4 linked regions of the Tamandua tetradactyla genome follow. The main gene of each other region encodes a partner of the protein of the gene in region 4 in a complex. Links are inferred from orthologs where the notes say so. Each region holds a gene or a part of one and is shown on either strand. Other genes may lie near its edges.

Region 1 (7,282 bases), on a different chromosome or scaffold from region 4:
ATAACTGGTTTCCCCTGGGCCTTTTTCTGGTTTTGGCATGGACAGGCTCTGGGAATTGAATCCGGGTCTCCAGCATGGCAGGCAAGAATTCTGCCAATGAGCCAACACTGCCTGCGGACCCTGGGCCTTTTTTAAGAGTACATTATAGCAATCACCTTACTCAACATTATATGATTCCTAATCTAGTATCCAGCTGAAGTCTGGCTGAGGATTGTATTCCATTTAAAATCTGGAAGTTCCTCTCCCAACCCCAAACAAATAATATGGGATAATGTAAGAGCTTTCATATTATACTCAGACACCAACAAACTGAAATCTTTAATTTATACTTTATATTTTCCCCTTAGGATAAATACGAATCCAGTCCAATTTTGTAGAGCTTTACACATTTACTGTATAATAGTGTAAAAAGATACACTGCATTTTTTATTTCACAACACTATACGATACTGAATTTGCTGCTGAGTAGAAGAGGAAATAATGTTTATAATGGCTTTAGTGATAAAGTTACTTTAAATCTTTGAAAATTGGTGCCTGTTAAATTAACGTCATTGATTAATCAGAATTTGAGAAATAATGGTTTTCTGAATAATATTTTTGCTAGCAAAGGATTAACCAGAAATTCTGAGTGTTGAACTCTCATTGATCAAAGTCTCTCTCACATGTAGCACATTTTTGTGAGAAAAATACAGGGCTGCACCTAAGTGTCATCACTGCCCCAAATCAATGACAATTAGACTCTGTGTGTTGCTTACAATTGGCCAGATGCCAATCTAGGAATGTCACATGTAGTGACTCATGAAATCCTCCCAAAACTCAATTAAGTATTATTTAACCCATTCTTAGAAATGAGAAGTTAAGTACCTTGTCAAGATCACACAGAGGTTAAGTGGGTAGGAGTGAAAAGTTAGGTATTCCAGCTCTAGGGAGCATGCTCTTAATGACTATACTGAATTGTATGCTCAAGTAACAAGATCTCATACTTTGTATACTCTAGATGCACGCTTTAAATGTATAAAAAGTAGGAGAGCATAGTAATAGAAAAGTTGAATCTCATGAAAGCCATAAAATCTCCCAGAGAATCAGTTTTTAGGCTTTTAATATTAGCCTAAAATGTTTCATGACAAAGTGGAAGGTAGTAAAAATTGTAATTAATTGTATCCCATTTAATTTTTTTTTAAACATACCAATGTTCAACTTCGCAAAACCTTCAATTATCATAATGTGCTATAACTAATAATGAGGCAAAAGAGGAGCCTCACCCTCTTCTTTTTCTATTTGGTCAATGTTGATACAACCTCAGACATATATTACTGGGAAAGTTTTTTTCTGTGGTTCTGCATATCTTTCTTTTTTTAAATGTTCAAATGCAATACTCAATATACTTTCAAAATTTACCTTTGGTTTTTTAAGTTTATAAGTGAAGTATCTTCACTGTCATTTATTGCAGCTTTGCAACTAACCTGAAATGTACACGTGCCAATTACCACGTAATTATTGCCACCATATGCAATTAGGTTTCCTGAATCTCCACTCTCAAAGGGATTAAATTCTACCACATGCACATAATCTTCACAATCCACAGTGTAGGCAGCATTTGTGGTGGCATCTTGCTTCATCATGTATGCCAAAACTCAAGCAGTTGTGAAAAAAAAAAACAGCCTTCTATGGGACAAGGTCACCAACCTGTGAATTACAGCAGAAATAGATTCAATTAGAAATAGTTAAATATGTCTTTCAGTAAATGAATCAGAATAAGGATGTAGTATTGCAAGGATGTGGTATTGCAATGCGGTACAAAGCTCAAAAGGAATGAAACATTTGAAGTACTTATCAAGGGACCAAAGCAGCAGAAAAAAATTAGATAAAATAGTTAATGGTAGAACACTTGCTCCGTAGCTTTTCTCCTTTCCATATTTGTGAATACTTGCAGAGGAAATCACCATAAAATTCTGTATGACTAAGCCGTATGTTGAGTACTTGCAAAAACAATCAGATTGATATTAAATAAATTTATAAAAAAAGAATAGCTGAGCACTATTTGTTGCCACCACGTTAAAGCACGTTACTGCCATTACCACTTTTAATATTTGCACAAACCGAAGAGGGAAATACTATGTGTGGTCTCCACGTCACAGATGAAGAAACTGAGGCTTTAGGAGGTTCAACAACTTTCCAAGCTTATAAGCAAGCAGAGCCAGAAAGACTTCACTATATTTTGGACACTAGGGCAAGTGAAGAAAAACAGCCTCAGCCTTGAAGGCGGTCACCATTCAGGGATAGTTATGATTCTGCATGAAAAGCGCTCTAACACAAGGAGATACAAAGCATCCTCGGATCCCGAAGGGTGCCAAAACTTGATACACTGGTATAAAGCCAAGTACAAAATCTCAACAAAGCTGTTCGGGCCTAACGTGTATTCTGGCCACAGAGTAGTATTCCCTAATGAGAACTACGGGTTTTAGGTTTTTTTGTTTGTTTTTAATTGGATATAAGAGTTTTATGCTCCTGAAAACAGCCGGACCCAGAAATGAACGCATCCAAGGCCTGATGAGTATTGACCGAGAAGCAGCTGGCAAACTCACGAGTGGACACCCGGGGCTGGCATGGTTAAGAGTGACCAGCAGGGGAGACGCCCACAGAAACAGCGGTGCAAAAGATTCGAGGTCAGGAAAGTCGTTCCGATCCCGGCCCCGTGGCCCTACAGCAGCGCCCGCGGGGCTGGGCCCTCCCCTCCACACCTGGAGCAGCCGGGAAGAAGGCCCTGCACAGAGCCTCGATGCCGCTCTCCCACCCAGGCCAGTCCCGCGGCACCCGATCCCGCCTTCCCTGCCCGCGGTCGCGGAGGACAGAGATGGGACGCCCAGGACAGAGGAGACACCTCCCGTCCCAAAGCCGGCTGCCTCGGCGCTGCCGCGTGATACCAACCCGACGGGCGAAGCGCGGCCGCAGCGAACAGGCCTCCGCGGGGGCGGGGCGGCCGCCGCGCGCCGGCTCTGCTTCCGGTTCGGAGGGCGAGCGCCGCGATTGGCTGCCGCGCCCTCCCGCGAGATTCGAAATGTAATCCCGGCGTGGCCGGGGGCCGGCGCGCAGGCGCGGCCTCGCCTCGGGAGCCCGCGCGGGTGAGTCTCCCCGCTTCCCTGCCAGCGTTGGTGGGCCGGGCCGGAACCTTGTGGGGTCTTTCGGTGACACCAGAGCACCGCCTCACCGTGTGCGGTGCTAAGTGCGGGCCTCGGCGCTGCCGCCTGGCTGGCTCTGAGGACTGCGGACGGACGTCGGGTGTCCCCGAGGGAACTGGAAGGGGCGGGATGGAGGCCCAGAAGGACCTGCTAGGCCCTAGTTAGAGGAAACGAGGCGTGCGGGCTCCCACTCCGGTTTTGCTACCCCATACACATCGCCCCAGACAGCATGGAACACCTGACTGCTGACAACGCTTCCCTGTATCTTATCGAGGACCTGTTTAGTGTAGCATTCATTGGGTCATGTACTTGTCTCATCAAAGTCTCACGACCTTACTACGACCCAGGAACTGTCTCCCCGATCACAGATTAAGACATTGAGGCTCATCAGAGGTCTTGCATAGTGTAGGACGTACAGCTAATAGATGGAGTTGCTGGGGTGGACCTGGTTATCCGACTCGAACGTGTACTTGTTTCAGACGTCGCGCACTACCGCCCAGTGACATTCACCTGCCCCACAGTTTTTCCTCCAGCGCAGCTTTAATCCAGTTTTTTAAAGCAAGTATTTATTATTGCCACCAATTTCTTCTACTGTTTTTGTGTAGGGCAGCCTGTCATTCAGAGTGTTTGCATATTCCGTGCCTCATTGACTCTTCTCAAGTGCGAGGAAGGTGAGTAAGTGAGGAGAGTATTGTGCCTCTTCTCTAGGTGATATCTCCGCTGTGCAGCCAGGTGTAAATCTGTCACCCAAGCTCACAAGAGATGGGCAGATGGGCTGAACTGCCTGTTTTTGTGCAGCTACCACTTGAGTAAACAATAGATTTTATGTATTTAAATGGCTGGGAAGAAACTAAAAGAATAATTTTTTTGACACATGAAAATGATATGAAATTCAAAGGACACTGTCTGTAAATCAGTATTGTTGGAGCACAGCCATGCTTATTCATTTATGAATTGTCCATGGCTCTTTTCACACTGCAAGGACAAGTTGAGTAGTTGTGACAAAGATCACATGACCTGCAAACCTCACATTTTTGCTCTTGGCCCTTTCCAAATAACTCCTGACTCCTGGACAATACTGTTTTTTTTTTTTTTTTTTTTGTCTCCAATAATAATGTCCATTCAATTTTAACTCAAAGCAACTTAGAAACTCATAATGTAATACTTCACTTTTAATGTGCTCTTATTTGTGCCAGGCACTGTTCTTTTAAAGCTTTACTTGTTTATATGTCATTTACTCTTTACAAAACTCTATGAGGTACGAACTATTATTTTCATTTTCAGTAGGAGGAAATTGAAGCAGGGAGAGGTGACCTAACTTGACCAAATTTCACAGCAAGTAAGTTCTGGAACCAGGTTCCAGAAGAGTCTGGTTCCACAAGAATCTTCATTCTTAGCAATTGGGACTCATAATATCTCTAAAGCCAGTAACTAATTTGCTGCTGAAGTTTTATTTTAGGCAAAATGATCATATCATTGAAGCTGAAGTTTTACATCACTCATTTTTTTAAATTTATTAATTAAAAACAAAACAACATACATAATCAGTAATTCACAATATCATCACTTAGTTGCATATTCATCATTTCTTAGAACATTTGCATCGATTTAGAAAAAGAAATAAAAAGATAACAGAAAAAGAAATAAAATGATAACAGAAAAAAAAGTTATACATACCATACCCCTTACCCCTTGCTGTCATTGATCACTAGCATTTAAACTAAATTTATTTTAGCATTTATTCCCCCTATTATTTATTTTTATTCCATATGTTCTCCTTTGTTGACAAGGTAGATAAAAGGAGCATCAGACACAATCGCACAGTCACATTGTGACAGCTGTATCATTATTTAATCATCCTCAAGAAACATGGCTACTGGAACACAGCTCTACATTTTCAGGCAGTTCCCTCCAGCCTCTCCATTACATCTTGAATAACAAGATGATATCTACTTGATGCATAAGAGTAACCCTCCAGGATAATCTCTCCACTCTGTTTGGAATCTCTTAGCCGTTGACACTTTGTCTCATTTCATTCTTCCCCCTTTTGGTCGAGAAGGTTTTCTCAATCGCTTGATGCTGTCTCAGCTCATTCTAGGGTTTTTCTCAATCCCTTGATGCTGAGTCTCCGTTCATTCCAAGATCTCTGCCCCACGTTGCCAGGAAGGTCCACACCCCTGGGAATCATGTCCCACTTAGAGAGTGGTAGGGTGGTGAGACTGCTCATTGGGTTGGCTGGAGAGAGGGGCCTACATCACTCATTTTTTTTAAGAGCTGAGAGTGATATTTTGAAGGGAAATATAACTCCTACCTATTTATGAGGGATTGTATTTATGTGGCTATTTTAACATAAAGTCTTTTACCTGTATTTTAAATTGTGTTACTGGTTATATCTATAATTTAAACTATCATTTTGTAAATGGTATATGCTCTTTTTCTTGATCATGCAAACCTAGGGTGCCTGGGATTTAGAAGTCAGTAAATTGATGAGAACAGTACCATACCCAAAAGAGATGATGGACATGTGAATATATTTTAAACTGGTAAAGAAAGAAGGAAAAACTCTGTTAGCACATGTCTGTTAATCAAAGAAAGGAATTAGCTGTTTCATAGGCTTGGGTATGAAAGAAATTAGCTGTCCAATAGGCTTGGGTATATAAAACATTAGAAATGCATCTAATTATTTTGAAAGGCTTTTGTCTGTATCAGAGGTTTTTATGCAATATAATGATTTAAGAACACAGTTTATGGGATTAGGCATCTTGGGTTTAGGTCTGGTTCAGTTATTTTCTAGCCAGGTGACATGAGGCATCAATTTTGTCAGATGTAATATGAAGATAATAGTACCTGCCTAATGTACTCACCTCTTGTGAGAATTGCATGAGGTAATATATTAAACTTTTGAAAAATTCCTGGCATCAAGTAACAGCTCCTAAATATTAGCCATTGTGTTGTGATCTGTTGCTGGTGTAAAAAGCTGCCCCAAAACTTAGCAGCTCGTGTGCTTGTGATTCTGTGGATCGGTACTTTAGATGGGGCTCAGCTAGGTCGTTCTTCTCCTGGTCCTGCCTGGAATTGCTCATGTGGCGAGTTCGTCTGGCAGGTTGACTGGAGCTGGATAATCACGTCACTGTGTGTTTGTGAGTTAATGTTGGTTGTCGGCTGGAGTTCCATGTTACTTCTCCATCAGGCTGTGTTTCACTTGCTTTATCATTATAAATTTGTGTACTTTTTTGGATGACTTTTCAGGCAGGATTGGATATTATTATTTCAGATGATTTGGCTTAAGAAAATTAAATGAGAGGAAAATGTGATTGGGCAGGAATTATATTACTCTGTTTTCTTAAATTTAAAAGCCATTTTGGTAGATATGAGATGATCTCTCATTCACTGCTTTTTTTACTCTGCTTGTTTGCACATGTTAGATATTAATTTCCAATTAAAATAAGACACTTCAACATTGTATTCTGTTCTACTTTAAGAGGATGGCTGTGCATTATCAGAAGTCTATCTTGAACATGATTAAAGCGTTTAGAAGGAACTGGCACACCCTTTGTACCTCTGAGAGAACTACTGTATGTGGTGCAGACTCCATGCTCCTGATATTGCAGCTTTCCATGGCAGAGAACAACAAACAGGTTAGTAAGTTGTGTGTAGGTTTCTTTGTTTCTTTATTTATTATTTGTATTTTTTGAGGGGCTGCATAGTCCGGGAATTGAACCCTGGTCTCCTGCATGAAAGATGAGCATTCTAGCGCTGAACCACTAGGTTCATTTATTTTTTTATTAAGTTTCGGCTACTGCATATTTTAATAATCTTAATTACATTAATTTCTTTGTTATATTATGATAATATTGATATACTATTTTCACAAATCCCTCTGCATATATATGTGTGCCACAAAATATTAAGATTTTATTTGAAATGATTTGTTTAAAAATTAAGGCTTTCATAAGTACAGTTTAACATGGAGCATGTACATTTGACATAATAAATGTCTTAAGATAGATGTGCAACTATTATGGTTAAAAATTATTACTTCCCTTCTCCTCTAAAAGCAATTCTAGAAAGCACACATTACAAATGTTTATTTAAATTAACCA
Region 2 (6,858 bases), on a different chromosome or scaffold from region 4:
ATAGCAACAGGTATCACCTGAAACCTGCAGCCTCAGATTAGTATCCTTTTGTCATTTGTTGCATCAAATCCTGGGTGTGTTTTGCTCCAACTTTCCTTGTGGGATCTTTTTCCCCCTTTGGGTAGTTAATGGCTCTGGAGAGGGTGAAAAGTAATTTTGGAAACTCTCAACACAAGGAAGTCAGATACAGAAATGGTTCCAGCTAGATTTGGGACTTCTACTTTTTAATCTTCATGTTCTCACAGGCCCTAGGTGAGCTGCTTCTTGGCTTTCCTTCAGCTGTGGCTGTGAAACAGGGTTAATAAACAGCTGATCCACCTTCCAGAACAGTCAGAAGAAAGAGCTAATGAGATCGGTTGCCAGAGCTGTTTGCAAGGGTACAACAAGGCTGCAAAGCCCTAGATATAAACATCTCAGGGAGAAACCGTTAAGCCTGGGACTTGAGCAGTTCAGAAGGTAGGAGGCATAATTCATTAGTGCCTGTCTGGGGAAGAGTTGGGGAACCAGTGGCCTCTCTCTGTCTTGAGCACTAGAGGGTTGGGACAGCATTCTGTAGCTTTAAAGTGAGCCCCAAGCACCTCCTCTGAGGATGGGCAGATGTTCCCCAGTGCCCTCTCAGTCCTCTAAAATTCTTTGCATTTCCATCATTTTACTTGAAAAGGGAACATTTAAACAGAGAAACCAGGGTATTGAGCAACCAAGTACACATAGCAAAGAGGCAGTGTGGGCACGTCCATAAATATTTGGTGACTGGTGAAGAGAGGGTAATTACTAGTGGGGTTCAAGGTGGGGATCCAAGATTCCCAGCCATAAAGGGCTGAGGGGTCAGCTCTCTCCAAATCCTGCAGAAAGATAAAAGATCTTGTTCAAACTTGCATGACTAGTTGCTGATAAAAGCCATAGGAGGCCCTAGATTTCTGGGTTTGCTAGGTACCCTGCTTTCCTGTTGCTTAGCTAGCAGTGTCCTTCTGAAAAGACACTGCTTGGTGAAAAGGGCCTTGTACCAAAACCAGCAAGTGAGGTTTGCTTGGCAAGGGACCGCAAAAGACCCCAGTCTCCGATTTAGGCAGGATGTTCTTGTGCGGATCTCAGAGGTGTACAGCCAAGAAGCAGCAGCCTGAGAGTTCTAGATTTAGCTCCAGAGTCCCCACTCCATCGTGGTGACAGTGTGGGCAGGAAATGGAAAGAGGGGCCTGAGGAGGCAGTTTGAAAGGTGCTCATACTCCCTCTCTCAAATTCTACCAGGTCCCTTTCACATCTTTAAGAAAGAAAACATTGAGAGAACAGAGAGCACTAAGGATTTGAAACCCAAAGTACTTTCTGTGCCTACAAACCATGACAAGCAGATTTTTGAGAACTAGACAAATGTGAACTAAGGAGGAGGGGGAGGGTTGCAGGAATGCTCAGGCGAGGGCAATCCTGGTTTGGGTGGGAAACATCTACAAAGCTATATGTGGAAAAACAGAAAGGGAGCTTTGGAAGCTATATGTATTTGTCCAGATTAAACTTGAATGGGTAAGCCTGGCCCTTTACAACTTTTCCAGCCTTAATTCCTTGCTACATTCTGCCAAATATCCTAAATTATAGCCACACCTGACTATCTGCTAATCACCCATCCATCAGAGACTTACTGAGCAACTACTACGTACCATACAAAAAGCAGATAAATAAGGATGTGGCGTGTTAGGTGAATTAATTTATTCATTTATTCCTATGAGATAGCATAAGCTTGTATTAGAAGTATTCTTTGCCTTTATTTTCTCCTGCCCCTGGGTTTGACTTGCAGTCTTTACCCTTCCTCACTATCCGAGCCGAGACTCTTCTCTCTAGAACACTCCACAGACTTTGGTAACGGAAACTTGGGAGGAATGGGAGGCAGAAAAAAGGACAGTACAGGATGAAAGTCAGAGTTTGAGGAGTGTTTCAGGGGCCATGGTGTGTGAGCCTAGCTGATGGGTGGATGGGAAAGAAAGCATAGGGGATTAGTTTTGGTTGCACAGAAGTGTTCTTTGACCTTGACTGCACTCCGGGGTTATGACTTTATAGGCTTTTCACACTCATTCATTGGACAGTTTTCATGGAGCATGTAGTATGTTAAGGCACTATCCAGGGCCCAACAAAATGGACCTGGTCCCTGTCCTCCCAAAGCTTGAAAATATTAAATAAACAAACACAAAAATCATAAATTAAAAATTGTGATGTGTATCTTGAAGGAAAGAAGCAGCACCAGGAGAGTTAATGTGGGAACTCTTTATGTCTCTGGGACATACCCTGATCTTCACACTTTAGGGTCTTCGTTCAGGCTGTTTATGCTGAAAGACTTTCCACGCTCTATCAAAATCCTAATATTATACTATAAACTCAAACATCACCTCCTTCAGGAAGCTATTTCAAGTTCCCTACTTATGTTGTTCTCTCCTGGAACATTACTTGCAAGTCTATTATAATACACAATTCATTCTATTGTAGAGCAACCAACTGTTCCAATTTGCCAGGGACTGAAGGGTTTCCCTGGATGCAGGACTTTCAGTGCTAAAACCTGGATTGTCCTGGGTGAACTGGGATAAAGTTGGTCACCCTAACCTGTAGAAAGTCCATCTCCCTTTCTTACATCCAACACTCCTAACGGAGGAAGTGGACTGCACCTTCTTACTCTCTCTATTCGTGTAATAACTTGTAAATAGAACATTGATAATATTAACAACAATAAAAGTTTGTGTTTGAGCACTTACTACATTCCAGGCCCTGTGCTTAGCGCCTTACAATAATCAAGTGAGAAAGATCATTTTTGCCTTCTGTAAGAAAACTGAAGCTAAGCCACCCAGTTAAACCAGGGTGGAAATGAAAGGATAGGACAGAAGAGGGAAACTTAATCACCTCCCACCATGCTCTAAGCACAGTGGTTCTCAATTTTTTTTTTTTTAAATCACAGGAGCTATTTATACTCTTAAAAATTATTGAGCACCCAAAGAACTTTTATGTGGATTATATTTATTGAAGGTAACTGTAATTTTTAAAGTTTTATTGATGTTTAATTCACATACCTTGAAAATATTGTATTTGAAATTTAAAAAATTAAAAATATTTATACATATTTCATTTAAACATTAACTCTCATTAGTATAAATTACTTTAAATTTGAAAAATAACTACATTTTACAAAACAAAAAAATTTAGTGAAAAGAGTGGCACATCTCTCTAATGTCTGCTTAAACAGGACAGCTGGGTTCGCCCATCTGTTTCTGCATGCAGTCTTTTGTAATATGCACCATGTAGCCTCTGTACACTGGTGAGAGAATGAAAGTGAAAAAGGGAAATAGCTTCTTAGTATGATTATGTAAATTGTTTTGCCTTTGAAGACCCCTGAAAGTGTTGCAGAGACCCTCAGGGGTCCCTGGACCACACTTTGGGAGCCCCTGCTATACTGTATGAAACAATAAGTCCTGCAGACTTTGCAATGCTTTTACGGCAGGCCTCAGAGCAAAAAGGAACCTTGGGTTTGCACGGATGTTGGATTTGGGTTTCTAGACTGAGCCTGGGACTATGTAAGGGACACCTGCGAGGGGATAGGGCAGACAGCATACCTCCCCTCTGCCCAACCTACCCGCAAAGCTTTTCAAGGCTCACCCCAAGCCCTTCTCCACCTTGGACTACAACTCCCGGCAGAGCTCGCGGCAAGGGGCGGTGCGTGAGTGACCCGAGCTGAGTGATGGATGTGAGAGGGGGTGGGTCTGCGCTTGGCCGGCGCAGTGCCGCAATTGGAGGAGCTGGAAGAGGGCCGGAACCGGTGTGTGAGTCAGCCAATGGTATGCAGTCAGGCGGAGGGGCGGGGGCGGGGCGAGGCAGGGCAGGTTTGCAGGCTGTTTGGGGCGCACCGATCCCCGGAACGCGGGTCTGGGGCTGAGGGCACCGTCCTGGGGTTGGTGTGATGGCGGCTCGATGGAGCAGCGAGAACGTGGTGGTGGAGTTCCGTGACTCTCAGGTGAGCTGGGGGACGAATGAAGTCTCTGGGCATGCGCCCAGTCCTGGTTCCCCTCCCCCAAGGTGCCGGGTCTGTCTTGGGGCTGTGAGGAGACACCCCGGGCCGGATCTGTGGAGATGGGCAAGGGGTGATCCGGAGCTGTCAGATCCAGGAGGGGATCTCTATGACCGTTGTGGGCAGTTGGGGCGGGCACGGTGGGGTTTCGGCGGTCTCCTTGGGGTACGGGGAGTGGAGTCCACATGGGCCACTGAAGCTCAGAGATTGTGCGCGGTTGAGTGCTGAGGGGAGGCCGCCACGACCCGGGCTGAACCTGGCAGAAGGTGTTTGGTCCCGGGACCGCGCCGTGTGGCGTGGGGCAAGTCGCCGAACTTCTCATAGCCTCATCTTGATCGAGTTAACACTGCCTCACAGAGTTTGGGGGAGGAGTCGACGAAAAGTTGCCTGCAGAAGGCCTGTTTCTGCTCCTAGGCTCTTAAACCGTGATAGAGAGAAAACTACCGTGTTGTGAATGGAAATGCGGGCCACTGCGCAGATTACCGGGTTCGAATCCCAGCTCCGCCCCTGGCCTGTCGTCACTCTCCGCGCGTCAGTATTTTTTTCACTCGTAGAAGGGAGATGATTGTCCCCACCTGGCAGAGTTGGCGTGAGAATTTTGAGACGAGAAGCCTGAAGAAACGTTAGCGTTCACTAGAGATTTTTACCATTTTTCTATTCCCGATCTTCCATATGCCAAGCTTTATGCTAAGAGGCTTAGCTACGTTTTATTTCCCCCTAATTCATGAAAGACCCGTGCAAAATGTAAGCGGTAGCCCCTTTTTCCAAATGGGAAAGATGAGGCTGACCCCCAAGGGGCTTGCCCAGGGCCTCATAAAATATTGACTCATTGGGATTCAAACGCAGGGTTCTGGCTCCAGAGCTCTACTTTGTCTATGGTGGATAGCACAGCCTGTCATACATAAATATTGTGTTATATCTCTTCATTTACTTAATACCTATTTATTGAATACTTTTGTGTGCCATGCTTTCATTCCCTCGTTTATTCAGCAAGGATATATTAAGCCCTTACCATGTGATTCATACTGAAATCTGGATTGCAGTGAAAGGGGTGATGTGGTTTTTTTTTTTTTTTTTAATCTTTCTAAAACCCCATTCTCCCTTTTACCATAAATATTAACGAGTGGAGGAGCCATCTACTAGTTTGCTCTAGAGTGCTCTCTGATGTGCAGCCCTCACTGAGAATTTGAGCAGCAGCCTTGGGATTACAGCCTCTTGAAACACTTTGCACTGCCAGCGTGGTATCTCTATGAAACCTGCTCTCCCAAGTGAGGCGCCAGGCTCCTAGGGATAAAGAACCATATTCCTGTTACCTTTCTTGTTAATTGCTTTCACTGGGGACTAGGACAGAACAGAATGATGTATTGTGCTTCCAAACCTGCTAATTTGGAAGCGATTAATCTGCAAGCCCTTTAATTCTCACAGAAACCCAGCTAGTCTCACCCCTACTTGTCTAAAGAAATGTAATTGAAGAAACCTGCAGAGAGGGTGCTGACACATATATTAAGATGTTATGAAGTAGTATCAAATAATTAAACTTAAACAGCAGTTGTCATAGTAAGGGAACAAAGCAATTTAACTGCCTTGTGGGAGTTTCTGTTTTTCCTTTCTAATTTTTCTTTTCAGTTGGAAGGTTACCTCTGTGTTGTGAATTAACATGATTTTGTGGTTGAGTCTTGTGAGGATTAGAAAGGTTGGGAATCCAATTTATTAACTATTTTGCAAATGTAGGAAGGAAAAGTTAGAACTCTTCATATCACCTATCTGAAAAGACTAGAATGATAAACTTTTCGAAACACCCACATCTTTTATATTTTATAAAATATATAGACAAAGAAAAAAGCGATAATTTTCAAAGCCCACTTCAACAATTAGTTACAGAACAGATCCCAGAGTTTGTCATGGGCTACCATTCCACTATTTCAGATTTTTCCTTCTAACTGCTCCCAAACACTGGAGGCTAGAAGGAATATTAATGTAATGATTCAGCTGTCATACTCATTTAAGTCCTGTTTTCTCTGTCATAATTTCTTCTCTTTTGATCCTTCTCCCAGTCTATAGGGATCTTTGTTTTTTGTTTTTGTTTTGTTTAGTTTTTACTTTTTATTTTTTATCTATAGGGATCTTTGGGCACTGCTCGTTCTGATTTTTTCATGTTAAAAAGGGGTGTCAACACTAAAGGATAGGGTTTATAATTAATTGATAATCTTGGAGAGGCTGGTTCCTCTGAGTTTCAGGATTTATCTGATTTAGGAATGCTCCAGGAATTATCGTTCCAGGAAGGCAAACATAGTCCATGAAACCTTTTAGAGGCTCAGTTTGAGCCCTAGGTGTTCTTAAATCAAGACATCCACATCTTTTAAAACTACTTTGTTTTTTAAAAAAGATTTTAGGTTTTTCAGGGAAAAACCTCAGCCCAACTGGTGAAACTCCATTTTATAGTTTATACAAATGCCATCTAGTTCATAAAGCAATGCCTTGAGATAATACCACCACTAATTAATTGTCAAGAATCTGGGCTGCTTGGCAGCTACTCTGAAGTGATCCCTAGAATCATTGAGTCAATGTACATTAGCACTATAAGAAAACTTGGAATCTTCTGGAGCAACACCATCCAATAAAACTTTATAAAACTTTGTATAATGATGGAAGTGTGCCTACCATGCCCTGGAAATGAGGCTAGTATGACTGAGACATTGTGTTTTTAATTTAATTGAATTATAATTCATTGCCACTTAAATTCCCACTTGTGGATATTGACTGTGGTATTGGAAAGTGAAGTTTCAGGTACTCAGAGAGTGAAGGTTAAATAGTTTCCACTC
Region 3 (6,903 bases), on a different chromosome or scaffold from region 4:
GATCTACAAGGCAAATGCATGAAATGTAATCATAAATCAATGGTTTTGGAATCACAATTCTTTGTGACAAGAACTATATAAAGATGTAGGAGTAAGGGATCCAGGAACACGGTTTATGTATGCTAATGAAGTTAAGTAGGTATTAAGGCAAGCAAGATTATTATAGATTTAAGATGTTAAATTTAAGCCCTATGGTAACCACAAAGAAAATATCAGAGAATATGTAAACTCACAGAGAAAGAAAGTAGAGTACAGGTTATCAGGGATACAGGGTAGGGGCAATGAAGAGTTAAGGCAAAATGAGTACAGGTTTTCTGTGGGGGGGAAACGGAAAGTTATCATAATGGATGGTGGTGAGAGTACACAATATTGTGAATATGATTAATCCCACTGAATGGTAATGTTTGGGAAGCTTTGAATGTGAAGATTTGTTACACAAATACTTCCACAATTAAAAAAAAAAAGAAAAAATTCTGTCTCACATCTTTCTAGAAAAATAATGCTCTCCTTTCTCCTTTGTATTTCAGAGTACTAATGTCTAGAAATTACTCTCATCAAAGCTTCACATACGTTTAATTAGATTCAAAACAAATGTTTCCAATCTTTATGTCAAATAAAGAAATGGTCCTTGGGTATCAAGTAGTTGTGCGTTCAAAAGCAACTCTACATTCTAATGGGAATTAGGCTACATCTAAGAAATAAATCTCAATAGCTCTTTCTAAATGACTCCATTAAGGAAAATACTTAGCCAGATGTGCTACCCATACCCATTAACAATACCTCTATTAACCTCCAAACCTAAATAAGCAACTTCAAACTGTGTTACTGCAAGTGAAGCTATTTTTAACAATTGCCCTCACCATGGAACTGTGAAGGTCAGTACACTTGGGCTTTAGCAAAAAGAAAGACATTGAGAAAAAGTCAGTCTTCAAACAGTGTATCCTCTTCTAATTAAAACCTGGGATCCATCAAGCTAAGCAAAGCAACTGTTCCTTTTCCTTTCTCAAGGCATCTGAGCTGAAAGATACTCTTTTTTTCTTCAAAAGAACTTATAAGGCAGAATTACAGCAAAATTACCTACTGGAATATCACATTTTTAGGTCAAAACTACTAACAGAATTTATTTAACAAGCTAAGGGATATCCAAGTTCAATAAAAGGCCATAGAAAGATAATTCCAGAATCAAACAACCAAAAGTTTTGTAGTAACAGTGGATTTCCCTCCAGCATGTTTTGAGATTGTGAAGTTTAATTATTTGTAATGATTACTAAGCAGTCTTCTGCAAACCTTCCTCCAAATAATTAAAACACAAATGTGGTTTTCAAACAAAAGGTTCTTTACCTTGTTATTCTGATGGTGAAGGAAAACAGTTACACATCCTGTTGATGAAGCTGCTACGATTCTTTCCTGGTCCAAAAACTAAGTAGAAAAATGCTGCTTATTATGGATTCAAAAACATTAGTAGGGAGGAAACCCATTTGTTCAATTCAATCAGTATCAAACTGTATAACAAATTTAAAGAGAGCTCGTGTATGCTAAGCAAATAAAATGCAATAATAGATTTAAGACGCAAAAACTTCTAGACAAATAATACTATTTTCATGAATAATAAATAACAGCATTTTTTCCCTAAACTCCTTTGCTTGCAACTGATTTAATTTTTAGCCATTACAATAAAGATTTAGAAAAATATTTCCAGGGATAGACAGTTTTTTATAGAATAAAATACAGGGATGTTAAAGTTATACAGACTTAATTCTATACTTAATTCCAGCCCTATCACTTACTACTGACTCTTAGACAATGGACAAATAAATTAAGCTCTCCAAGGCTTGTAAACCTTTGAAATGGGAGCGCTTATTTCTTTATGGGGGGGGGGGGGGGGAGAATTCAAAAAGCAAAACCTTGTAAATTGCCTTGCCCAGTGTTTGTCAAAAGGCATATATGCTCAACAGAAGTTCTTGAGCATATAGTTTTCACACTGGTAAAACAAATAACAAAAGTTGATTCACAGACGTGAAACGAGGGTTAAGTTTGTGTAAGCTCCCAAAACAGTGTTTGGCACTTGTTAGCTGGTTAACTGATAAAAAACTGTGATTAAATCTATATTTCCCGCCTGAGTTCTGATTTTGCCACTATATACTTTTATGACGTTAGCAAAATCATTCAGCCCACAGAGGCTGTAACGAAAGGTGAGACTAGAAAAAACTTTAAGGTATTTTTTTTTTTGGTGGGTGAGGGTGTTGCATGGTCCCCAAATCGAACCCGGTCTCGCACATGAAAGGCGAGCATTCTACTACTGAACCACCCGTGTACCTTTTATGATGCTTTTTTTTTTTTTTTTATCTTTAAGTGTATCTCTCAGTTGTTTTAACAATTCGTAGATACTACACAGACTTACCTGCAAATCCATGACATCACCATGGTGTCTGATATCACACAATAACTGATGGTCTCCTCCAAAACCTCCATCAGAGTCCAAGTTTCCAAAATCTCCAATAGACCACAGGGAAACATAATTTTCCTGTAAAGCAGAAAGTTTTGTCTTGAAGCAAAAGAAGCATCAACCCTGGGAAATTAAAATTCGTACGCCCTCAGGCAACCTTGCATCAAAATCACCTCAATAAACAGTAACGGTTAAGTTCAGACCATTAAGAGGTACGACATTCAGGCATTCTATTGCCGGCTCTGAGCACCAGGCAACAGAGCCCGAGATAGTCCCCCGACTCGGAGAAGGTAGGAACAGCTAGCGGGCGAGAACTGGCTCGGGAGGCCGGGCCGCAGATGCAGGGGGCCCAAGTGTGGGGAAAGGCTGTCGCTAGGGTCGAGGTACCTCGTTGTCCCAAGAGCCTGTAGCGAAGGTCTCCGCGGTCTGTAGGCTCCCCGGGGGCACGGGCCTCCAACGGGTTTTGCTGATTTTCTGAGACACAAACTTGGCGTAAAATTCCTCCATGCCAGAAGCAGAAATGGCAAGCACTGCCGCGCGCGCTCTAAGCCCTGTCCTTCACCCTGATTGGATGGGACATAGATGGGATGGTGTCTGAGGAGGGCCAATCTTCCTCCTTGGGCGAAGAAGACCGGATTGGTCCTAGCACCCAAGCTGGCAGGGGTGGCCGGTAGGAAACTATCAACCCAAGCTAGCAGGGGCGGCTCTGACAAGGGTGCCTTACGGTTTTGTGCTGTAGGGTCAGCTCTTAACCGGCAAAATGACTACAGGAAGGCTGAGAGAGTGTATTTGTGCAATAAGTGTGCAATGTAAAATGAATTTTAAGGGCAAAACCAAAATCAGTGCAGGAGAAACCACCTTGTAATGATATCTAAGTATTCAGTTGCACTTCACCGCGTATAGAAATACGCAAGATCCTTACCGTTCTCACGGAGGTACCTCTACTAATGCACCAACTTATTATCAAAACCTCTCCCTCTTTGCCCCCAAACAAATCTTTTGTTTCACATTTGTTAATAACACATTGTCAGAGTCCGGCGTTGGAATTCTTAAGACTCTAGGTCTAATTTGCAGCCCATTGCCTAGCTGTAACCCTGGTCAATTCATTTACGTATTAATAAAGAATGAATATGGTGATATCGAAAGTCAACAGCCTAGGAATTAGTTTTCTAGGTTCCTTCTCCTGTGCCTTTAGTTATACCTATAACATCCATTCTTCTTCCTTTCCCAGAATCTTGCTCACCTTTCAAGCATTAGTTCCTTCAGCTATCTTTTCCTGATTACCACAGTCCATGATGATCTATATAAACATAGCACTGGTTATCTACAGCACTGATGGTACTTATATTTTGCTTTCTATTGCTAGTTTTCCTTTGGCACAGATCTCCTCAATTAGAACGTAAATCCAATTTCATACAAGAGGTGTAAATTCTTCATCTTTTTATCTCCTTTACATTATAGGTATTCATAACTGTATCTCCTGTTTTTTTAGAACGCCGATGATACTTTCTTGCTCTTATTTTTATCTGGTAGTCCTATTCGACAACTACAGCTTATGGAATCACCACATGTGAATTCAATCCACCCAGGCCAGCTTTAGAGAGTTATCAGGTTCCTATCAATGACTTGACATTTTTTTCCCCTAACAAGAAGACCATCAGGAAGTTGCAGAGAGCAAGGCAAACTATTAGAATTCCAAACTGACCATTTTATTTCTAATATTCAAGTAGAGCACACTGTTTTGAGTGTTTATGATCACATGATGCCAGAAAAAAAGGTAAGGTCTAAGTATATTTCAGGTTGGAAATCAGATTCATGTCACATTTAGCAAAGTCTGTTAAGAATTAGAACCTGAACAATGAAACTGGCACAGTAGTATAGATGTCTCGGTATAGCTTTGCTTCCTTCCTTAAAAGTGTACTGGACCAAGTGATGGTTGGGTTCTACTAGCCTCGGTTCTGATTAGGAGTCAGCATTTTTTTTTCCATACTCAGAATATTTATTAGATAGTACCCCATGGGGCCTGCAGGAGAAGGGTACCAGACTGCACTCCTTCCCCTTTTGCAAGCCACCCCCCTGAATCAAGGGTCAGGATTCTAAGGGAATCAGATGTCTCAAATAAGTAAGAATGTATCTGGGGGGAAAAAGATCATTCATTCCCCACACCTGACAATACAATTATATGTGTTTCCCAGGAAGAGAGGGTGCCAGTGAGAGTGATGAATAGATGAGATGAAGAGAAACAGAATGGGCCCTTCTTTGTCACAGCCTGGGCTTGGAGAAGGACTGGAGTAAACAAGTATTATAAAGGAAAGGAAATGAGAGAAAAGATGGAGGTCAGGGGTTGGGTTCACTTAGATCACACAGCTTTGTAGAAAAAACCTAAGCAGCAACTTGAGTTCTCAGGTTGGGACAGGGAGTTGTGGGCTCATCACTTGGAGAAAGGAGAATCCAAGGGGCTGTCTTCCAATCAGACTGTGATTAGATACAGGAGTCAGCATTTTGTCTGAGACAGGCAATGTTCCCTGACAGCTTCTCGCTCATCGTCTGCAGAGCTGATAGCAACAAAGTCGGTGCCCAGTCTAACGGTGGAATTTGTGAGTCTTCAGCATACTGTGGGATTTTTAACCAATTGTAGATCTTCAAATGTGCGTTGTTTCAAGGGGCAAAACACCCAATCCCTACATCCTTTATCATGATATAATTTTCTGTCTGAATTTGTGCTTTAGAAGTGACAACAAACGAGGATAGCAAGCTTTCTGCTAACCAGCGCTGTCCCAAGCCCGAGTCAGATCCTACAGACTCCACCATCCGGAGCTGGGGTTCTACCCTAGCTACTGGGCTGGGTGAGGCAGGGCGGGGGAAGCCCACCGCTTAACAACGTGGACAGTTATAGGAGCAGCCCCGTGGCTCGCAACAGCTGACCGAGAGGCGACTGCGGAACTACCAGTGACCGTGGTGAAGCAGACCGGCCGCAAAATCGCTCTGCACTGGGACAAGAGCGAGGGTCTCCAGGATCGACCAGAGGAAAGCCCGAGGAAAGGCGATGCGCAGCGAGAGACTCGGGAGATTGCACCACCCATCCAGCCTCGGGGGAGTCCTGGGAAGGCGCCTCCTCGGCCCCACCCGGCCCCGCCCAGAGCGCGGCGTCACAGGGCGCATGCGTGCCCCGGGGCATGCCGGGAGCGCGCAGTGGCGGCAGCAGCGGCGGCGGCTCCGGCGGAGACGCGGGCGGGGTGGTGACCGTGTGGGAGGTGGTGTCACTCCTGGGGAAGCTGCTGGGCACCGTCGCCGCGCTGAAGGTGGTTCTGTACCTGCTCCGGGTGTGCCTAGCGATGGCCTGGAAATCCGGCGGCGCCAGCCACTCGGAGCTCATCCACAATCTCCGCAGTAAGTGCCGCCTCCACCGCACCGGCGGCCGGGCCTGGACTGACCCCGGTCCGGCCGCGACGTTGTGTCCCCCTGCTGCGGAGGGCCTCAGCTCCCTAACTGCTAGTGTGTGCGACCTCCCCCCGCCTCCTCCGACGAAGACCTGTCACTTAACGGCGACGTGGAGGAGAGGTGGGGGCGTGGAGGGCCGGGTGGCCCAGGTGGGGCGGAGGCTGTCCGCGGAGTCAGCCGCCTGCTGTCTTGAGTCCCGCGGCGGGGGGCGTTCGTTGGGGTAAGATGGTATTGCCAGGCTTCCGGAAGCTGGGCAGGACTGAGGGGACCCCAGCCTTGCCCCCCGCATTTTCTCGCTTTCCTTCTGCTCTAAAGTCGACCTCATTGCAAGCTTTCCCTCCTGTTCTGCCTCCCCCGCCCTCTGCTTTTTCCCCTGGAGGAAGATGCCACCGTCTGATATAGGCGAGGGGAGGGAGAGGAAGATGAGAATATTGCCGTAGAAGAGGCTGGGAGAAATTTCTCGGGCGTCTGCCCAGTGCAGTGCTTTGTGAGGGGTGGAGGATGAGAGAGGGCATGCTGTTTTTGCTAGACTTGTATTCAGGACCCTTTAGGGGTCCTGGGACCCAGCAAACGATTGTGTGTGTGTGTGTGTGTGTGTGTGTGTGTGTGTGTGTGTGTGAATATTCTAACTTTTTTCAGGAGTATCATATGCTTTAACAACCTTGTATGGAAGTTTCTTTATACCATTCTCTTTATTCTTTCTTCTGAAGATAATTTTAGGGTGGGATGAATGCTGTGTCACTTTCTTTTTTTAAGTTGAAATATCGTGTCGCCGTCTGTTCGCAAGATCCGCAGGACTGCTGTCCATAATGATCTCATTCTAATCAGAGCTTATAGCACTCTCTTTGCCGCTTATTTTGCAAATAATCATATTTTGTCACGTGGTATTTTTAATTGTCATGTTATTTAACTTTTCATGTGTTTGTCATATCTCCCAACTCTCTAATCTTCTTGAGGATTTCTAATCCTCTCAAATAACTTAATACTCATAACATTTCCTAAAAATACCAATTAAA
Region 4 (7,651 bases):
GTGGTCAAAACAGCATCGTACTGGCTCAAGGATATTGACCAATGAAATCAAATTGAAAGTTTAGAAATAGAACCTCACATCTTTGACCAAATTATTTTTGACAAGGCTGCCAAGTCCACTGAATTGGCAATGTAATTAACACCACTGAATTGTACATTTGAAAAGGGAGAAATATGGAAATTTTACGTTGTACATAAGTTACCATACAGAAATCCACACACTAAGGAAAAGTGTTAACACAGGGAAACATGTGTGTGAGGAGAGTATGAAGGAACTCTGTATTTTCTGCATGATTTCTCTGTACACCTACAAATGCTCTAATAAAATATGTGTGTGTACAGGAAAAAAGGGAACAAAGGAATATGCTGAAGTGCTAAGAAAAACTATACTGAAATGTTACAGAATTATAAATTTCTTACTGTTCAATTTTATGAAATGCATTTGTGTTACTTTAACAGGTAAAAAAATGCATAGCATCTTTTCAGGAAATGAATTATAAATTCTCTCTAGGAAGAACAGCGAGTCATTGATACTATCAAATAGTAAACATTTCAATTTTCCTCAATCACCATAGAAATAAATACTAACCTTCCAGCTAGCAGTACAATGCCAATCTCCACTTTCACTTTTATCCCAGACCTGTAAGAAAATAAAATGCAGATAGTTTATAGAAAAATTCCTACAAATTAAGACTAGAAACCAGTACACAGGAAAAGGATGTGAAAAAAAAATTCACAAAAGAATACGTGTATGCAAGCATTCATTCATTCAATGAGATATTTACTGAGAACCTCGGCTGTGTCAGGAACTGGGCTATGCACTGAGCCTCAGACAGCTCAAGCTCTAGTATGCAATGCAGACAATGTACATCATACACAATAAATATTACAGCAGAACACTGGACTTAACAAACAACAAAAAATATATAGATTTCAATAACAAGGGGCCACTTTAACCTATTAAAAATGATTTTGCCCAACAGTCTATGAAGCTTTTAAATCAGTAATCTTACTGGCAGTGTAAAATGGTACAACCTAAAAAAGATGATTTGCCAACTCTTTTCAAAAGCCCAAAACAGTCACTAATTTTTATCCAGAACTAGCCTAAGGAAATTACCCAAAATATTTAAAAGCTAAGTTAATGTAGATTTTCATTGCAACATTCTTTCTGAGAAAGAAAACCTACCCACTGAAAGATCTACTGAAGGATCAGGTAATAAGTGAATAATGAAAAAATAACAGCCTATTTAGTTAGACATTAATTGAGCCATTGGGAATAATGATCATGCAATAATGGGGGAAAATATACTTTTGCATGAAAAAGTTACACATTTACCTATATTTACTACCATGACAGTTATTAAAAACATTATAGGAAAAGGCCAAGAAATCACTAAATCTCAACGAGTGATAAGTGACCAGTAAGCCTATAAATAATTTCTCCTCCTAAAAAGAAAAAGTATATTACTTGCACAACTTAATACAAATGTGTGTTGTGTGTGTGTAGATAAATAAATAGAGCCCTTCGGTAAGAAAAAGTACACTGGAAAAAATGGACATAAGGTCACAAAGTAATGAAACACTACCGAAATATATACACCTGCAATTCAATATAATTCCCACCTAAAAACTCTTTCAAGGAAAAACATCATTCTTATGCAATCTCTTTATAAACCAGTAAAACTGATCCCAAGTTGTCATATAGACTACAAATTCATTATTTAACTAATATCTGCAGATTATTCATGTAGGTCAATTTATGACGATTATATATGAGAAATGTTTCCCCAAAAGGTCTACTACATAGTTAATCCATTAACAATCTTTAAAAATGGTTGTGAACCTTTCGAAAGCTGTAATTGGATGGATTTGGCGGTACTTTTTTCAAAAAAGTAAAATTGCTATAATTTTATCTTTCAGACCACTGGTAACAAACTTCAGTGTGAAAAGCAAGAAGGAAAACCCTGCCTTTGGAATAGTGGAGAATATAAATAATCCACACTCCAGCTTCCTTCTTCAGATTTACTATCACACCCCGATAACTCCTATCAGATTCCCTAAATCCCAAATACGATCCGCATATTATAAAAAGTCAGAATAGTGCTTTACAAACATGCCAATTCCTACAGAGTACAGAACTACATCGAATTTTTCTTTCACCGCGAAAAATATGAAGTTCCTTTTCCCACCACAAATAGGGAACTGTCTGCCCAAGTGAGGATTACGCAGCTAAAACTCGAACCATGGAAAATACTTTCCTCCAAGTCCCTCGCCCAGCCCTCTCATTGAACAAATTCGGTGGATTAGGCCACCTACTGCCAGGTACTCCTCAGACTGACACGCCGCTATGAGGTACTCGACCCTAACGCTAGCAAGTAACTCTGTCTACACACTGGCGCGAGGCTCAGAGGCCGGAGGACTGCCGGGAGGAGGCGGGAGCACCCACGTGGCCAGGATGCCCCGCCCAATCCGCCAGCCCCGCCCACTCAGCCAGCCGATCCGCGCAGGCGCACAGGGAGCGCGCCCCACGGGGCAGCCGGGACCCCGCAATGCGACCGACCGTGGAGCCCTATGTTGGGCAGATGGCGGCCGCAGGCCAGGGAGGGTCTATCCGCCTCCCCTGGGCTCCAAGTCCCGAGCGCGGAGGCCCGCCAGGGAGTCGGGAAGCCCTCCACGCGACAAGTCGCCGCCCCAACGTCTCCCTGCTCGGACCCCGGGGCTCACGCCCGCTCCCAGCGCCCCCTCCTCGGGCATCGCCTCCGTGCGCACCTTGACGCTCTGGTCGCTGGAGCAGGTCGCCATCCGCCGCCCGTGGAAGTCGAAAGACACATCATGGATGAGATCTTTGTGATCCGCCGCGATGCTGCGAGCCACGAACATCGCGCCCGCCGGGCCCGCGCCTACCGCGCTGGCCCTATGCGCCCCCCAGGAAAGACCCCGCGCATTAGCGCGTGCGGACGCGCCACCCGCCGAGGTCCCGACGCCTCGCGCGCTCCCGCCGCAGACGCGCGCAAAGTGCGCGTGCTGCTGCGCGCCACCGCGCCCCGCCCCTCACCCCGGCATGCCCCGCGAACGCCGTAGGGCGTCGCTGCGTCTTCGCCTGGGCCACACCCCGCCCTTCGGCCCCAGCGTGCCCGGGGAACTCCGCCGGAACTTCCGCGTCTGCGCTCTGGGCTAGGCACGCCCCTCGGCCCCAGCATGCCTTGCGTGCGCTGCTACAGCTTCCGGGTCTGCGTCCCTGAATCAGACCTGTAGAAGTCGTGGTCGGAGGTTCCTGCGACTTCCAGGGACGCGTCTTATTTTGTTTTACATAATAAGAGCTCCTTGTTGAAGATCTGGAAATTAAGGAAGATGAGAAAGATAAAATACAGTGCATAGTCCTCCACCCTGAGTCAATGCCCGTCCACATTTCGGCGTTTCCTCCCAGAAACGTGCTAGGAAGATTCCCCGGAGATTCGGTCCCAGTGAAGCTTTGCTGGAGCAGGACGGGGTGCAGAGGTGCTGGAAGAGGCGGGCCGAGGCGTCCGCCTTAACAGCTGAGACGTGAAGCAGGAAGGTTAAGAGGGTCGAGGAGCAGGTGTAGTGAGAGGGAGCGTGAAGGCGGAAAGGGTCGGAAGTAGGAAGTAGGCAGAGATACTTGAATTTACTATACCGGAGACCCGGGTTCGATTCCCGGTGTCTGCCCGTGCAGAACGTGTGTGTGTGTTTAAATTTAAAACCTCGGGTAGTGCAAGTTGGGGGCGGTAGCAGAACGTGTGTGTGTGTGTGTGTATTTGAATTTAAAACCTCGGGTAGAGCAGGTTGGGGGCGGTAGTAAGACCCAAGAAGGAGAAGATGAGATCTTTAGAAATTCGGGTTCGTGGGGTGGAAACAAATTACTTACGCAGTTTGCAGGATCCAAAGTGAATTGGAGGACTTTCGACCCTGGAGCCAGAGTCCTCAACGGAAAAACAAGGGAAATGAGCAAAACGCCCCATAAGAAGAGGAAGCCTTGAACCAACAAGTGGAGGAACATTTTTACAAAGAGTTTAAAGATTTAGGGGATTTTTTCATTCAGGGAGAGGCATTGCAGAGGGAATACGGTAACATTAATTAAGAAAGGAAACATTGGAAGATTGGGTCAAGGGAGAGAAAGTCCAGGGGAAAAAAAATCGAAAACGAGTCCGCGGAAGGGGCTTGTATTTTGGATTATGGCCAGGGATGACAAGAATTCGAGGCTTGATGAGATCAGCAGGAGAGAAAGTTTTCAAAACACTTAGTCCCAGCTGTTCCCTGATGGATTTCACTGAAAGCTGCAAAGGGAGGCAGGGAGATGATCTAGACATTCTGGAATTTTCTTTATGAGACTTTTTTTAGAGTTACATAGTATAAGACTAAATGTTTATTGTAAGACATTTGTTAAACCACACGTGTATATAGAGTAAAAATTAAAGTTCCTTTTCACCCCAGGATCTATCCTCCCTTGCATAGGATAACCATTATTACTGTGTACTCTTGCACACTTTTTCTGTGGTTTTGCATATAGCTACCTAGTACTAGCATATGAGATAACTAGTACACAGAAATGTTGAAATGTCATTGGATTTTTTTAAATTGATACTTTGTCTATTTTTGCTTTTTAAAAAGTATCCAATAGGGCGGGCCACTGTAGTTCCGCAGGCAAGAATGCTCACCTGCCATGCCCGAGGACCTGGTACCTGCCCATGTAAAAAAAAAAGGTATCCAATAAATCTTGGAGAACTTTCCACGTGGGTCTAATTCATTCTTTCAGTCTTTTACCTATGCATTCCAAATTAAGGCTGAATTGTGGTTTATTTAAACATTCCTTTGCTAATGGGCAAGCATGTAAAGATCACTGTAGGCATGATTCATTTATTCATTCAGGTAGACGTGTGCTTCATTAGAGTTCTGAAGTTTTTCTTAATATAGTTTTGCATGTTTCTCATTTGCTCTATTAAAACTTTATAATTTTCCTGGCCATGTGTCTGGGCTCTGTCTTCCTATCTTGCTTATAAGGAACCTGTTAAATCTCATATGTTCATTTTGTGTTTGTTCCCTTATAGAAGTCTTAGTTCTCTTAGCTTCTACATTTATTCTTTTGGGTATTTAGATAAATAAGTATATTAGCTGCAAGTAATGACATAGATATTTTGTATCCCTCACTGTCCAATCAAGAAAACGATATGTACTCTAGCTATTTCAAACAGGAAATTTAACACAGGAAAATGGTTACAAATGTATTGGAAGGGCTAAGTAGGCAAAAAGGGAACAGGTGAGGTTATCCAGAGTGTAGTAACTGCAGGAAACTTCTTAGGGCTGGAACAGAGGGAAAATAGTTTTACCCAGGGCCTGCCGTCACTGAACCTCTGAGATTACTGATGTTGGAATCTTCATCACTGTCCTAGGAAGCCAGCAGCAGAGTTGTCCAGCTAATGCGGCAGGCATCTAACAGTGGCAACAGCTGAAGGAGCCGGTGCCCACGAGCTCTGGGCAGCTGAGGATCCTAGATCCTCTGCAGCTGCTCCTGCAACTCTTAGGATTCCACTGCTTCCACAGGAAGCAGGATAGCCAGGCTGACCCATTGCCACCACAGCTGCAGCTGAGATGTCACCACAGAAAGGGGGGAAAAGATTTCTCTCTTTCTCCTCCATTCCAGTAGCAACGTCTGGTTGAATAATAGTTGTAATCATGCTTCTCTTGTTCCTGATGTTAATGAAACTGCTTCTAATGTGGCATAACTTTTCAAAAGGTTGGATTTCTATTTCAAGCTTGCTAGGAATCTTCATTAGGTATTAGTGTTTATCTCTTTTTTCTTATCAATACATTAATAAATTTCTGAATGCTAAACCATTATTGTTTTAATACACTGCTAGTGATTCACTAATATTTAGAATTTTTGCTTCGATATTTTAAAAATATTTTTGGTATATATTTTGCATATACATTTGCATGCGTGCTGTTCTTGTCCTTTTATGGTTTCTGTATTATTTTAACCAGGCACAAGAGATTAGGAAATTTTCATATTTTCTCTCCTCTGGAACAGTTCAAATGACATGGGAATTACTATTCTGTGAACATTTTGAAATTATATCCATAGAATTATATAAGCGTCATGCCTTGCTGTTAAGGAGGTTATTGATTTTAACTAAAGTTCAAATGTATTTTGTTATTGGTCTTCAGATTTTCTACCTTTTCTCAAGTCAATATTGATCATCTTTATTTTTCTTTAAAAAATCATTTATACACCATCAAGTTATACATGATAATTTCTTATAATTTTTTAAAAATCCCCTCCATGTCTGATGTAATGCTTTTTTGTTGTTTACTTTGCTTCTGTCTTCCTTTTTTTTCTTAATGTTTTAAACTTTTTATTGAAGGTATTATATACTTTCCAAAAAGTGCCCATGTTATAAGTTTACAGCTCACAGAGCTTCCCACAGAATGAACCCAGAAGCTCTCCTTGTGCTTCCTTCTGGTCAAAGAGAACCAAAGATAACTTCTATCCTGGTTTCTAGCAGCATAGATTAGTTTCACCTAGTTTTATCCTTTATGTAAATGAAATTGTACAGTATATGCTCTTTTTTTCCCTGGCTTTTTCCACTCTGTATTTAGGAGATTCATCCCTATTTTGCAAATGTTCACCCATCAACTTACTGATGAGCATAAGATTAAGTTCCAGTCTACATCTGTTAAGAATAGTGTTGCTGTGAACATTCTGGTACCCGTCTTATGGTGAGCGTAAATGTGCTGTTTTCTTGGACATAATGCCTAGGACAGTAATTGCCAGATTATCGAGGATGCACATATTCATATTTAGTAGATACTGGCAACAATTTTTCCAGAGTGGTTGAACCACTTTACAGCATCCTAGCAGTGTGTGATCGCTCCTATGTCTTCACAGTCTCAGCAACATTTGATATTTGTCATCTTTTCATTTTAGTCATTCTGGTGGTTGCATCATGACATCTCACTGTGTTTTTTATTTGCACTTCTTCATTTTTTTCCCAGAGGTTTGCTTGTTATATTAGTATTGATAAGTTGGATGCTACTGACCAAGTCTCCTAGTTTTTCCTTTCCTATTTCATTCATGTCCATTTTACCTTTATTGGTACTAGTACTTTCTTCAGATATTTATAGTTTTCCTACTTTGTTTTGCTTTCAATCTTATTTCCTAGGAATATCAAACTTGTATATTTTCCTCTGAGGAAATGAATAGCAATCTTTGCTATTCATTTCTGAAGTGTGTCATTTGAGTTCTTGTTTGCTATTTAGCTCCATACTTATTTAGAAAATGTGTTTTCACAAGTGGAAGTTTTCCCTCTTTTGGCTGTTGCTTTTCTGTAGCTGTAGTGTGGATTTGCCTGTACCACAGAGAGTGCACAAGAGGACAGGGGCCAGCCCTGAGGACGCTAGTCCGGTGACATTGTCTACGGCAGCCAGTTAGGAAGCATAAAATTTACTGGCCAAACACAACAAGCAAACTCACCACCGTCCCCCTGTCTACATGGGACATGACTCCCAGGGGTGTGGACCTTCCTGGCAGCATGGGACAGAAATCCGAGAATGAACTCGGACTCAGCATCAAGGGATTGAGAAAAACCCTAGAATGAGCTGAGACCCAGCATCAAGGGATTGAGGAAATCCTCTTGAGC

Evidence for each region.
Region 1: SEH1L (region 4) and NUP37 share a complex: the UniProt entries of both Homo sapiens proteins name them as parts of the nup107-160 subcomplex of the nuclear pore complex. The link is inferred for Tamandua tetradactyla from reciprocal best matches to the Homo sapiens genes SEH1L and NUP37.
Region 2: the proteins of SEH1L (region 4) and WDR59 are in contact, whole or in part, in a cryo-EM structure (PDB 7UHY), measured with the Homo sapiens proteins. The link is inferred for Tamandua tetradactyla from reciprocal best matches to the Homo sapiens genes SEH1L and WDR59. Residues at the interface, in NP_112493.2 of Homo sapiens: Asn308, Tyr309, Met310, Asn312, Lys314; in NP_085058.3 of Homo sapiens: Pro713, Asp714, Glu716, Thr717, Pro718, Arg721, Arg837, Glu840, Gln843, His844, Asn847.
Region 3: SEH1L (region 4) and NUP43 share a complex: the UniProt entries of both Homo sapiens proteins name them as parts of the nup107-160 subcomplex of the nuclear pore complex. The link is inferred for Tamandua tetradactyla from reciprocal best matches to the Homo sapiens genes SEH1L and NUP43.

The regions. Positions count from the first base shown.
Region 1 is NC_135333.1:172,275,067-172,282,348, forward strand, and holds the start of NUP37 (nucleoporin Nup37), read right to left. Parts: upstream 3,018-7,282; 5' UTR 2,929-3,017; intron 2,923-2,928; exon of another isoform or gene 2,742-2,922; intron 1,687-2,741; 5' UTR 1,623-1,686; coding exon 1,464-1,622; intron 1-1,463. Other genes in the region: PARPBP (PCNA-interacting partner), read left to right, coding at 6,665-6,817. UniProt on the Homo sapiens protein: Component of the Nup107-160 subcomplex of the nuclear pore complex (NPC). The Nup107-160 subcomplex is required for the assembly of a functional NPC.
Region 2 is NC_135342.1:69,496,572-69,503,429, reverse strand, and holds the start of WDR59 (GATOR2 complex protein WDR59), read left to right. Parts: upstream 1-3,847; 5' UTR 3,848-3,928; coding exon 3,929-3,982; intron 3,983-6,858. UniProt on the Homo sapiens protein: As a component of the GATOR2 complex, functions as an activator of the amino acid-sensing branch of the mTORC1 signaling pathway. The GATOR2 complex indirectly activates mTORC1 through the inhibition of the GATOR1 subcomplex.
Region 3 is NC_135328.1:141,295,558-141,302,460, forward strand, and holds the start of NUP43 (nucleoporin Nup43), read right to left. Parts: upstream 3,004-6,903; 5' UTR 2,954-3,003; coding exon 2,834-2,953; intron 2,525-2,833; coding exon 2,402-2,524; intron 1,420-2,401; coding exon 1,342-1,419; intron 1-1,341. Other genes in the region: PCMT1 (protein-L-isoaspartate(D-aspartate) O-methyltransferase), read left to right, coding at 5,623-5,836. UniProt on the Homo sapiens protein: Component of the Nup107-160 subcomplex of the nuclear pore complex (NPC). The Nup107-160 subcomplex is required for the assembly of a functional NPC.
Region 4 is NC_135344.1:76,895,280-76,902,930, reverse strand, and holds the start of SEH1L (nucleoporin SEH1), read right to left. Parts: upstream 3,009-7,651; 5' UTR 2,880-3,008; coding exon 2,769-2,879; intron 640-2,768; coding exon 589-639; intron 1-588. UniProt on the Homo sapiens protein: Component of the Nup107-160 subcomplex of the nuclear pore complex (NPC). The Nup107-160 subcomplex is required for the assembly of a functional NPC.